Linked DNA regions of Schizosaccharomyces pombe. Changing the gene in region 2 together with the main gene of any one other region gives a genetic interaction. Each region holds a gene or a part of one and is shown on either strand. Other genes may lie near its edges.

The links.
Region 1: mutations in adg2 (region 2) and cwf19 together harm fitness more than expected from each alone (negative genetic interaction), as found in Schizosaccharomyces pombe (one large-scale study listed by BioGRID).
Region 3: mutations in adg2 (region 2) and mcs2 together harm fitness more than expected from each alone (negative genetic interaction), as found in Schizosaccharomyces pombe (one large-scale study listed by BioGRID).

What each region holds. Positions count from the first base shown.
Region 1 is NC_003424.3:1,101,788-1,105,546, reverse strand, and holds the start of cwf19 (protein Cwf19), read left to right. Parts: upstream 1-1,739; 5' UTR 1,740-1,799; coding exon 1,800-3,212; exon of another isoform or gene 3,213-3,256; coding exon 3,257-3,524; exon of another isoform or gene 3,525-3,567; coding exon 3,568-3,759. Other genes in the region: Lsd1/2 complex PHD finger domain-containing protein Phf2, read right to left, coding at 1-683. UniProt on the Schizosaccharomyces pombe protein: Involved in mRNA splicing where it associates with cdc5 and the other cwf proteins as part of the spliceosome. Involved in mRNA splicing.
Region 2 is NC_003424.3:4,079,177-4,082,935, forward strand, and holds the start of adg2 (protein adg2), read right to left. Parts: upstream 1,981-3,759; 5' UTR 1,775-1,980; coding exon 1-1,774. Other genes in the region: ted1 (phosphoprotein phosphatase), read right to left, coding at 2,307-3,599.
Region 3 is NC_003423.3:1,891,179-1,894,937, reverse strand, and holds mcs2 (transcription factor TFIIH complex cyclin Mcs2), read right to left. Parts: upstream 1,959-3,759; 5' UTR 1,783-1,958; coding exon 1,510-1,782; exon of another isoform or gene 1,424-1,509; coding exon 1,350-1,423; exon of another isoform or gene 1,298-1,349; coding exon 676-1,297; 3' UTR 530-675; downstream 1-529. Other genes in the region: SAGA complex, phosphatidylinositol pseudokinase subunit Tra1, read left to right, coding at 1-505; GDP/GTP exchange factor Spo14, read left to right, coding at 3,282-3,395, 3,543-3,668, 3,715-3,759. UniProt on the Schizosaccharomyces pombe protein: Essential for progression through the cell cycle. Possesses kinase activity that can be detected when myelin basic protein (MBP) is provided as an exogenous substrate.

The DNA.
Region 1 (3,759 bases), 3.0 Mb from region 2:
ACAGGTCGACGACCTGGGCCACGTCGTCTAGTAGGTAATTTTACAAGGGGATCGAAATGATTAGGGCGATGCACTTTTCTTCCTGATTTTGTTTTGACACCTTCCAAATTAAATTGCTCTTCCCTACCATCTTCAGTAGAAAAGAGGGCGTCAGCGGTGTTGTCACGTTCAATAGCCAAACTGGCAGGCCATGATCTTTTCCGAGCAATGTTCATAGCAATTGACATAGGAGGTAATGGCGATGAACTTGCAGGAACATTTGGGGGTAACGCAGATTTTGTTTGGGAATCAGCACTTCTATGATGCGCATAATTAGATGAAGATGCGTCTTCAGTGAAAGGTGCCTGTTCGCTTTTTGCATCGGTTTCCTGATTTTTACTAGATTCTATTTCTTTAGCAACATCATCATTTTTGTACGAACCGAAAGCACCTGACTCCTTGTTTGGCTCGTGAAAGTGTTGGAACTGATTTTCCAAATGCATGTTTGAATTCACGTTAGGATTTTGTATATCCTGAAAGGCTTGATCTATTAGCACAGAGCCTCCATTTTGATTAGATTCCTCCCCCTCAAACATCGTTGGATGCAAATCATTGGGAAATCGACGACTACCGTCGAATTGAAAAGGATATGATGCCGCTTCAAAAGAACCGCCATCGTCGTCATAGTACGATGAATTCGGCATTAGGTTTTAAATCATTCATATGCTCATGTAAAAAACAAATGAAAAAATGAAGCAAATGGCAAAAAATGCGAATGTGTAAGTTCAACACGCGTGTTTGGAATTTAGGTGAGATTTAACGCAACTTATAAATCGTTTGCTGCTGTTACTCCAATTATGTTTTGCTAGCGAAATGAGATTGATCATCACTATATCTCGCTTATTCACTTCTCACTACAACTCACTGTCTAGTCATATATAAATACTGCACGTATCCATGAAGAGCTGAAATCTCACATTTATTAGAGCTTTTTTATTTTTAATTTTGTTAAATTTAATTATTCATGCATTAACTAGTCATAGCTATAAATATGAATGAAAATTTGGTCTTTCCTTTGTTTATATTTCCTAGATGGCCTAACAGCTATAATTGATTGAACTTGTATGCTATTAAAGGCGATAAACAGACTTCTTTAGTACTTTGCTAAAGAAAATATAATTGCAATGATCCAATTACACTGGAAATACAGGTATAAAAAATCGTCACAGTTTGGAAACAAACAATGCTTTTTTTTCTGTGGCTGTTGTGTAGCTTTGCTAGTATCATAAACTCATTGTACACTAGCGCAAGACACACTATACAGTAGTTAGCGCGAGGTATTTTATTATTCTTTCCAACTTATTTGTAATGAAGTTCAAATAAACAATGGGTAATTTAGTACTACTAAAGTCCTTGCGTTATTTAAAAGGTTTTTGTTTGAAGTTAGTGGTATATATTTTGGAATCCTAAAGTTATTGTATCGCCTTTCACTGTCAATGTGGAATACTGCAAAGGCCGATACTCCTTCTTTCAAACTTAATTGTTTCACTTTCTTTTCTTTCCATTTCAACGCAATATTTTACAATTTTTTTTAATTTAAAAGAGAATTCTGATCATTGTCTAAACTAAACTCCTGGCAAAACTATCATTTGCGTTGCTTGTTTAGATCTGCATAGTGCCTGAACCACTTGACTTAACGAATGTACTACTACCATCGTTAAGTTACAATAAAAACATTATTTCCTTTTTCCCACCATTTTGCCTCTAATTATTGTTAAAAATTATTTATTTCATGAATTAATATTAAAATAACGTCCATTATGGAAAAGGAAAAGCTTACAAATAGGACCAGTACTCACAAATTCAATGAAACTGACAGAGAAACAAATCACTCTAGAAGGCATCGTCACCACCACTCTAGGCATCGTGAGAGCAAGCATGGACGACATGATCGCAGTGAAAGGCCAAGCTCTAGAGAAGCAGGTGACCGAAGTAGGCATGAAAGATTTAGTAAAGAGCCATTGGAGGTAAAGAAACTTCCTGTTGAAAATGAATACTTTGACTCCAAATTCGCTTCTGCTTCTTCCATGCCATCCTCCAAAGACAATCCACAGAATAATGACTTTACTAATTCATTGCAAGGTTTGGATTTTGGTACGTTCGGTTCGCGTATACAAAGAGAACCTATTGACCGAAAGTCCAATAAGCCTGGTGAAATTTTTGTTGGTGCAACATTACAGAATGAGAGTTCGACGAGTACAGAACATAAAGATATAGAACAGCTTGAAACCGAAATTAATGAGTCAGGAATTAATTACAAAATTGGTGATAATGGCTCTCGATGGCGTATGATGAAGCTCAAACGCGTATTTGACATGGCTCAAGACCAACGACGCCCCGTTGAAGAAGTAGCTCTGGAACGTTATGGTTCATTGAAAGAATTTGATTTTGCCTTGGAAGAAAGAGATGAGTTAGAGCTTCGAAAACGAACTCGAAAAGTTCAGAAAGAAGTTCCTACTGGCGAATTATATGAAAAACGATGTGCTGATGAATTTAAGACTAGAAAAGATTCTGGTAATGGCGCTACATACTACAAAGTAATACCTGACCCTTCTGTAAATAAAGATACTCCCACTGAAAGCGATTTGAATAGATTAAAAGCTGATTTGTTACGTGCTCAACTTAAAAAGGATCCTAACTATGAGTCTTTAGAAAGGGAATATCAGAAAGCTTGTGATGACTTCGAAAACTCTTTACACCCTTCGGAAAATTCTAATTCGCAAGCAACCATACCATCAAAAAAAAGAAACTTCGACGATCCTACTATTGATGAGATGGTACAGGAAGAAAAATTGTTGAATAAACAACGGAAATACGGCCAGAATTATGAATACGCAAAGCAGATTGCAAAGGATAAAACTTATTCTAACAATCTGGATTATTTGGACGAAAATGCAGGGAAACTTTCTAATCGAATGAAGCGCGGAGACGTCAGTCTAGCTCAAATTAGTAGTGGTGGGGATCTTAAAAAAATTAATCATGTTTTGGACACTTGTCCTCTTTGCCTAAATTATGAAACACAACCTTTGGCACCAGTAATATCTTTAAGTCATCGTGCTTATGTTTCTTTACCAACTCAACCCGAATTAGCTAAATATCATTGTTTAATTGTTCCTACAGGACATCGGATAAATACCCTCAGCTGTGATGAGGATGAATGGGATGAAATCAGAGTATGTTAATATAGTAAAAGGAAATAACTAACAAACCTTTTTAGAATTTTATGAAATGCATCGCCCTAATGTTTGATTCCATGAATCTTGGTGTTATTTTTTATGAAAACGCGCCTTCACCACAAAGATATATGCACACAGCTATTGAGTGTATTCCAGTCTCTAAAAGGATCCTCTCACTTGCACCTGCTTACTTCCGTGAAGCTTTGTCTACTTCTGACGAGGAGTGGTCTCAACATCGAAAAATTATTGATACATTAGAAGGTTCGAAGAAGTATGGAAAATGGGCTTTTCGAAAAATGATGGTTAAGGGTATGTTTGGAAAATCGTAATCATTTATTTTACTAATGATTAGAATTGGGTTATTTTCATGTTTGGTTCAGTATTGATGGTGGCTACGGGCATGTCGTGGAAGACGAGAAGGCATGGGGGAGGCACGATCAAGTTCCTAGGCAGGTATTTGCCAGTATGCTAAACCTTCCTCCTGAAGTAATCAGAAGGAAAGGTTCTTGGACAGGTAAAAAAGATCCACGCGAAGATATGTTTC
Region 2 (3,759 bases):
TGGAAACAGTAGAGATAGTCTCCTCGGGACGGGAACTACATGTGGTAGTAGTCATAGTAGTAGTAGTCTCTTCGGGAGACGTAGTGTAAGTAACCTGGGTGGTGGTAGTTGTTTCTTCATTAGATGAGCTACTAAGAGCCGAAGTACCAGAAAATGAGGATGTAGGAGAAGGAGAACTAGAGAAGGAGGAAACAGATCCACTGGTACTTACGGTAGTAGGAACAATAATACTGCTGTTAGAATAATAGGGTGAAGAACTAGTAGCGGTTGCTGAGCCAGTGCCAGTACCAGTAAATGTAACGGTGGTGTTTGAAGCAGTCAGAGTAGTAGTGTATGAGCTATTGCTAGACGTGAAAGAAGAAACACTTGATGGTGCACTGGTAGGGATAACACTACTGTTAGAATAGAATGGTGGGGAGCTGGTAAACGTTGCCGAACCAGTACCAGTACCAGTAAATGTAACGGTGGTGTTTGAAGCAGTCAGAGTAGTAGTGTATGAGCTATTGCTAGACGTGAAAGAAGAAACACTTGATGGTACACTGGTAGGGATAACACTACTGTTAGAATAGAATGGTGGGGAGCTGGTAAACGTTGCTGAACCAGTACCAGTACCAGTGTATGTGATAGAAGTGTTTGAAGCAGTCAGCGTAGTAGTGTATGAGCTATTGCTAGACGTGAAAGAAGAAACGCTTGATGGTACACTGGTAGGGATGACACTACTGTTAGAATAGAATGGTGGGGAGCTGGTAAACGTTGCCGAACCAGTACCAGTACCAGTGTATGTGACAGAAGTGTTTGAAGCAGTCAGCGTAGTAGTGTATGAGCTGCTGCTGGAGGTGAAAGAAGAAACACTTGATGGTACACTGGTAGGGATGACACTACTGTTGGAATAGAATGGTGATGAGGAAACAGTTGCCGAACCAGTGGTAGTGGTACTTCCAGTAGTAGTAAGGTTAGTACTATAGGAAGGAGTGAAGCTACTGAGACTAGAAGAAGAGACTGTAACGGGTGTGGAAGTCGATGTAATAATAGACGTTGGCAAAACAGATGATGAAGACAGGCTGGCAGACGATATAACACTGGAAGGTAAGAAACTAGATGTGTTATAATAAGGAGAGCCTGTAGTAGTAGTAAACGATGAAGAGCTGGGAATCATAGACGTGTTTGTAATGGTGCTAAACGAAGAAGTGCTCGACGCTGGCGGAGGTAAGGTTACAATGTCGGTCGATGTGCCTGTCGAGACACTAACGTCTGTAGAGTATGGAAAACTAGAAGTAGCAGATGAATAAATGGTAGAATTCGCTGTCACAGTTATAGCAGTGCTTGGAATAGAAGTGCTAGCAGAAGCATGACCACTGTTGGTTTGTGAACTAGTGAAGGTAGTCATGCTTTGAAAAGTACTACCAGTAGTAGAAGAGATACCTTCGCCGCCAACAATATAAAAAGTACCAGATTGGGCGTAAATAACAGAGTCGTCGCGAATAGACGTAAAACTAATTTGGTAGCCATAACCTGGCGAAAGATCTAAAGCAGGAAATGTGGCATTTTCATCAAAAGTATTGATGGTCATTATGTAACGGCTTGTTGGTGGATACTCAACTTCGTTTATTAACCAGACATTAGCCTGCAGGGGATCAGTGCTGACCACACTCCATTCCAAGGGTTCAATATGTCCACTAGTCCAAACGTCTGAAGAAGAAGGAACATTAATTTCCATGCCAGCACAAAGCTTGGCTAAGCTAATTAATAGCCCGCTGATGGTTAATCTTCTCATTTCTCAAATAAATCCCTAGTTCGGCAATTGGCAGTGCACAGGCCTTCAGCAAGACGAATACCCAACTAAAAGTAGATGGTTAAGGAAAGAAAGTAAGCGAGAAAGGCGACTTAATATAGCACTTGGGTTTCTGATATGACCTAAGTGTATTAATGCTCAAAAGTGGGGCAATGCTGGAAACTGTATCGATGTAAACAAAAACAATCGAAAAATTGTGGATTCCAGAGAGACATTTATATTTGCACCTAAATTAGATAACGCATTCTTGGGTCGCGTTACTATGGTAACATTGGTCGACTTTGTGTAAATAAACATCCAGCACTACTGCAAGAAAGTACAAAAATGACGTTAAATGTAATTAAGGCACCACGTTAATTCAATGAATCTGCAGGTTCTTGGTTAAAAACCAGCAGAATGGCTGGTAAAAAAGGTTGGTTTCTCTCAAATTCACCTAAAGGCTGGATATATTGCCTGTTTAAGAGGCTGGTGTAAATATAAAACTGTTCATTTGAACAATTAGTGCACAACAATGTTAGATATGTTGCAATGATATTACCAATAAACGTAAGATGGTAAGTACGCATACCGATATGTGAAGAGCCCACCAAATATAAGATGGTCCTCCGTGACTCAAGGTATAAGTGGCATATATGTCGGAACTGAATTTTGACTGTTTCAATGAAGCCTTCTTCCATCGTTGGCCAATGAGTTTTTGAATCAGAAATGTAACAACCGAGGGTGTGTTCTTGGAGGACTCTGTAAGAACATCATTTGTCGCGATCAGTTTGACAAAACCAATATTTCCTCCAAAGTACCCCATTGCGCTGGGTAATGTATGTTCGATGGCACCGTTCGGGTGTTCGTAGTCACAACCCATATGATCATGGCCAGAAAGGACCAATTTGATGCTAGGAATCAATTCAAAAATTTTCATAGTAGTATTATACGATAAATGATTTTGAGACTTGACCCGAAAATCCAATTGACGAACGATTCTCGGTTCGTCAACACACACATTAGCTGGTTTGTAGAGTGGCACATGGGTGAACAGTATGGTTGGAATAGACGGCTCTAAAGCAATGTCGAAAAGAAATTGCCAAGCATCCCTAGCTTCTTTTGAAAGAGCAAGTATACCTAATGATGAAAAACTTTTACTGTTAATAATATCGCTAGGGTTCGCATCGTAAAACTGAACATCATCAAGCGAAAGGCTATTTATGCCGATCACACGGACAGGAAATTTAGAAACATTGAAGTGCGAAACCCAATTTACCGGGCCCATAGCTTGTTCCCATTTGCTAATTTGTGCGTCTGAACTTTCGCAGCCATAGCCAATGTCATGATTACCCGCAATCGTCCAAACGGGAATGTTACCGTTTTCAAAAGTACGTGCTGGTAAACTGGAGTTTCCTACTTGCCAAAAGTTTTTTGCCCCAGTGATTTTTTTCAGTCTTTTAGCTCTTTTGTTGAATTCTTCGTTATCCAAGTGCTGAAAACTGACCAAGTCACCCAACAGAATCATCGCATCTGGTTGACCCCAAAACTGATTCATATGTACAAGGTGTCGTAAAAACAAATCATTCCCCCAAAGATCTAAAGTGCCTTTAAAAAATCCATTTGCTTCGATTTTATGATTCCCTTCAATCTGAGGATCAGCAACCCCCATAATAACAAAAGAATTTTCATCTTCGAGTTGCAGCTTTCTTGGCATTATGCCAAATAGTAGAGGATAGGCATAGTAGACAGCTAAAAAAACTAGGCAAAGATAATGTAAAATAGACAGTTGTTTGTTCAACCATAATAAATTCGGATGTCTTGCAAACATTATTGACTTAATTATGTCAACGTAAATTAAAAAAGGGAACGGAGAGAAGGAGCGATTTTTGGAGTGCCTATTTTTACTTAGGAGCAGACTAAACGAGTAATGTAGAGGCGTAAGATTTTGGTTTTTGCTTTACTTACTAGATTATATAAATGGTATACCA
Region 3 (3,759 bases), on a different chromosome or scaffold from region 2:
CATACTAAGTATAAATAATAGGATACCTGCTAAGCTTGTTTTTTCTAGAGACTCTGGCGGTGTTTGGACAACAGAAGCGCTGCCATCTATGGTTTCTTCTACTCCAGTTTACCATAATGGAGAAATTGTTCCTTTTCGCTTTACCCCCAACATTAAAGAATTTATTGGAAAAACTTGTACTGAAGGTTTACTGGGCCCTTCAATAATGGCTATAGCTCGCGCGCTCTCCAAACCGGATTTCGATTTGGATATGTACTTGGGTATCTTTATTAGAGATGATCTTTTTTGGTGGCTTGCACAGCAAACTAAAGGCGTGCCGGCAGATTTCAGTATGCTCAACAAAGTCAATAGCAATACTGATCTTATAATGCGAAGGGTTGCATCATTAAGTCAGGTTGCTTATGGTAACTTACCAGTCAATCAAACAGCTATTGATTATTTGGCGCAAGCCTCTAGTTCCAAAGTTTTGGCACAGATGGACGTCTTATGGGCTCCTTGGCTGTGAGAGAAATGAAAATGTTTTTAATTTTACAAATAGACATTAAAAATAATTAATGAGACACACTTGATAGTGAATTTTACTGGGAATTTTTTATAAACGTAAACTATTTTGTCGTAAAAAAAATTGACGAATAATGACTATTGAAGTAAATTTAGCACTTTTCAAAGAAAGAATCATTCAAACGGATTTTTATCCAACACATTACTGCTGGTTGAGAACTTTTTAGCCCATTTGTTGTTATTAGTTGATTCTTCTTCCGCTTTTCGTTTAAGGTACAAAGCACTAGACTTGTTTCGCAGAGGATTCATGCAGAAATATAGCTTTCTGCCGTAATCTTGTGCCTTTTTTTTCTCAATCTTAAATTTTTTTGTAGCTTTCAAATTGGCAGAAATCGAAATTATCAAAGGTTGCAGTTCTGGAATTTTTTTTGCTTCTATATATTGTAAACAAATAGTTGGATTCGTATGATAAATAGCACCCAAAGCAATTATGCTGGGTGAATGTAAGAAATAGATGTCAGAATGCAATGTCTCAATTAGGAATTTTTTGGAAAGGTCATGACATTCGTAAAACTTTTCGACAGCAACTTTCGGAAGCACTGTTTGACAATCTAAAAGGAAGCCTTGTAAAGGACGAAATGGAAGCCAGACGTAAAGGTCCCATTTTAATGATTGACAAACGTTAAATTCGTATTCAAGAACTTCTTCGGGAGTCGTCTTGGGCATGTTTTTACAGAATTGTTCAATAGAGATATAATGATCGTTGCACTTGGTAGCTAAAAATAAAGAAGTAAACCTAATGTAAGAAAAACAATGTTAGCTTAATGGACTCGGCGACTTAAACATACGAAATAATTTTTGGACTATACTCCATGACAGAGTTAATTAGATAAAAGCGTTTAAAAAAAAGAATGGCCGTGGACTAAAATTTTGTGAGTAAAGTCGGAATGTTTATATTGAGTACAGTTTCCAAGTAATTGAAGGAAATCCGACCATGTCTAAACATACGCGAATATGAGTTGGTAAGGAAAGAGCGGAAGAAAGTGCGTTCAACTGGAAACTATAATAATTTACAAGTTCAAGTTCTTCTTCAACGGTAAGAGTTGGAGGCAAAACTTCTAAGGATGCTTCCTTGTTTTGTAAAGACAACTCTTCCAGCATTCGCTCACGTACAATATTCGTAAATTTTTCATTTACTTTAGCACGTGTTTTTGAAAGGTCTTCTTCCGTAAAAATCCAATCTCTGTAATGCGTGGAATCACGAAATTTATCGGCAGACATGTGAATAATGTAAGTAGAATTTACAGCACTCTATCAATTGAGGGTTATGCAAAAATTTAAATACTTCTCTATAAAGCCAGTAAAATAATAATATTTTTGAAATTTGGATACTTCTCTGCTATGAAAAACCCAAATCGCTCGTTCGCTGAGACTTTGTCGAGGACATCAGATACCCTGGATGTGGAGAAGAGAGTTTTTGCAATTAATGTGCGATGTGCAAAAAGAAAGCAGCACTATAAAGTTATATTAATTTAATGAAGAGTTTATTACATAAACTAAAATTTACTAATAAATAAAATATTGTTGAGTTGAAAAAAGTCTTGCATTCATGTTTCAATCAATTTGTATCAGCATAACATTTCACTGAAACGAAGCTGAAAAAAACAATAGTTATATAGGATTATGCTTTTTTATATTCCATTGAGGCATATCATTTAAAGCCAAAAAATTACCTGACAACGTTCAGTTACATATTTGAGTGAATTGCAAATGAACAAGAATTGGTAGTTAAATAAGGAAATGAAACAACATATTATTAATTAAATTTAATTGGAAGTCAATCTTTGAAATGAAACACGCTTTCTGTGCAAAAAACAGAAGTAATATTATAATCATACACAGGCAGCGGCGTATTAAGATTGTAGGCACCTTGGCACGAGATCGAGCATTCATACCCTTTAGTAGAATAAACACAAACATTAATTTCATGGACAATGTAGTCTCGCGGCAATTTCGTCTTAAAAATAATAATTGGAAATTATAAATAAATCCGAAAATTTCTCATCTCCTCACTCTTTCCCCAGTTCTCTTAATCTATTTTCGTAATATGATGAACATGTAGTAAATATTGCTATATAAACTATATAAACAATACAACGTAAACCTGGTAAAATGTACAGGAGACCGAGATATTAAATAGTGTCTGTAGCAAAGTTGCAACCAAACTGAGGTCGGAATTGAGTTCTAAAAAGCTGAAAAGGAAAATATAAATATAAAATGAGCCAGAATATGCTCCGAGATTTAGAAAGAATCTATTATAAGTTTCTGTTTGTTCAAAGATTCTTCGCAAATAAATATCCACAAGTAAGTATCATCCTTTTTTAAGTCAATAAGGATTTAGGTTATCTCTAATTAAATCTTTTCTCTACTGTCATAAAAAAATGGATAAAAACTTATGTATATATTAAACATCGCCTAAATACGTAAAAGAGGATAGTGATGTCGATATTATTCGATAGATTCTGATACGGGGATCTAATATTCTTACAGTATTTGCTTAAGTCTCGAAGTAGGTTCACAGCGATTTCGAAACATACCCACACCACCGTATTCAAATAGACATTGTTTTTTTTTAGTGGAATTCTTGTAAGTGTACTTTATTGATTTGCTCACTAATAAGTAGAATTTTTTTTTGATTCGTCGCCGATATCGATTTATTTTTTCAATACATTCCTATTCCTCGTATCCAGCTTAAAGTGTTTTCTAATTATTAGATCAAAATGGCTGAACTCCACCTTTCTTTTCCAGCTTATTCTCTTTGTTGGATTAATAACCATCAAATGGCGGTTGGTGGTGGAGGAGGAACTACAAAATCTGGTGTTAAAAACAAATTGGTATGTCAATTCGTGACTGTAAGTGAAGGATTACTTCATTATCTATCTATTTTACAGCATTATAAACTTTTTAGTATCCGGATTGTTAGCTAAAAAGATTATGTTTTACAATTGGACTATAGGCGCTAATTAGTTTGTCGAATTTAGAAGTTATTATCATATGAAGACTATGAACCTGAAGTTGGTGAAGGTCATACAAAATTTATAGAACATGGAGAAATCGAACTTAAGCATTCGGATGATGCCGTTATGTCGTTGGGTTATTTTAAAAATGTATGCAATATTTTTTTATTGCATAGCTAACGAAATTAAATTGTAGGAATTAATAGCCGGTATTAATAACACCATTGACGGAAAGTTAATT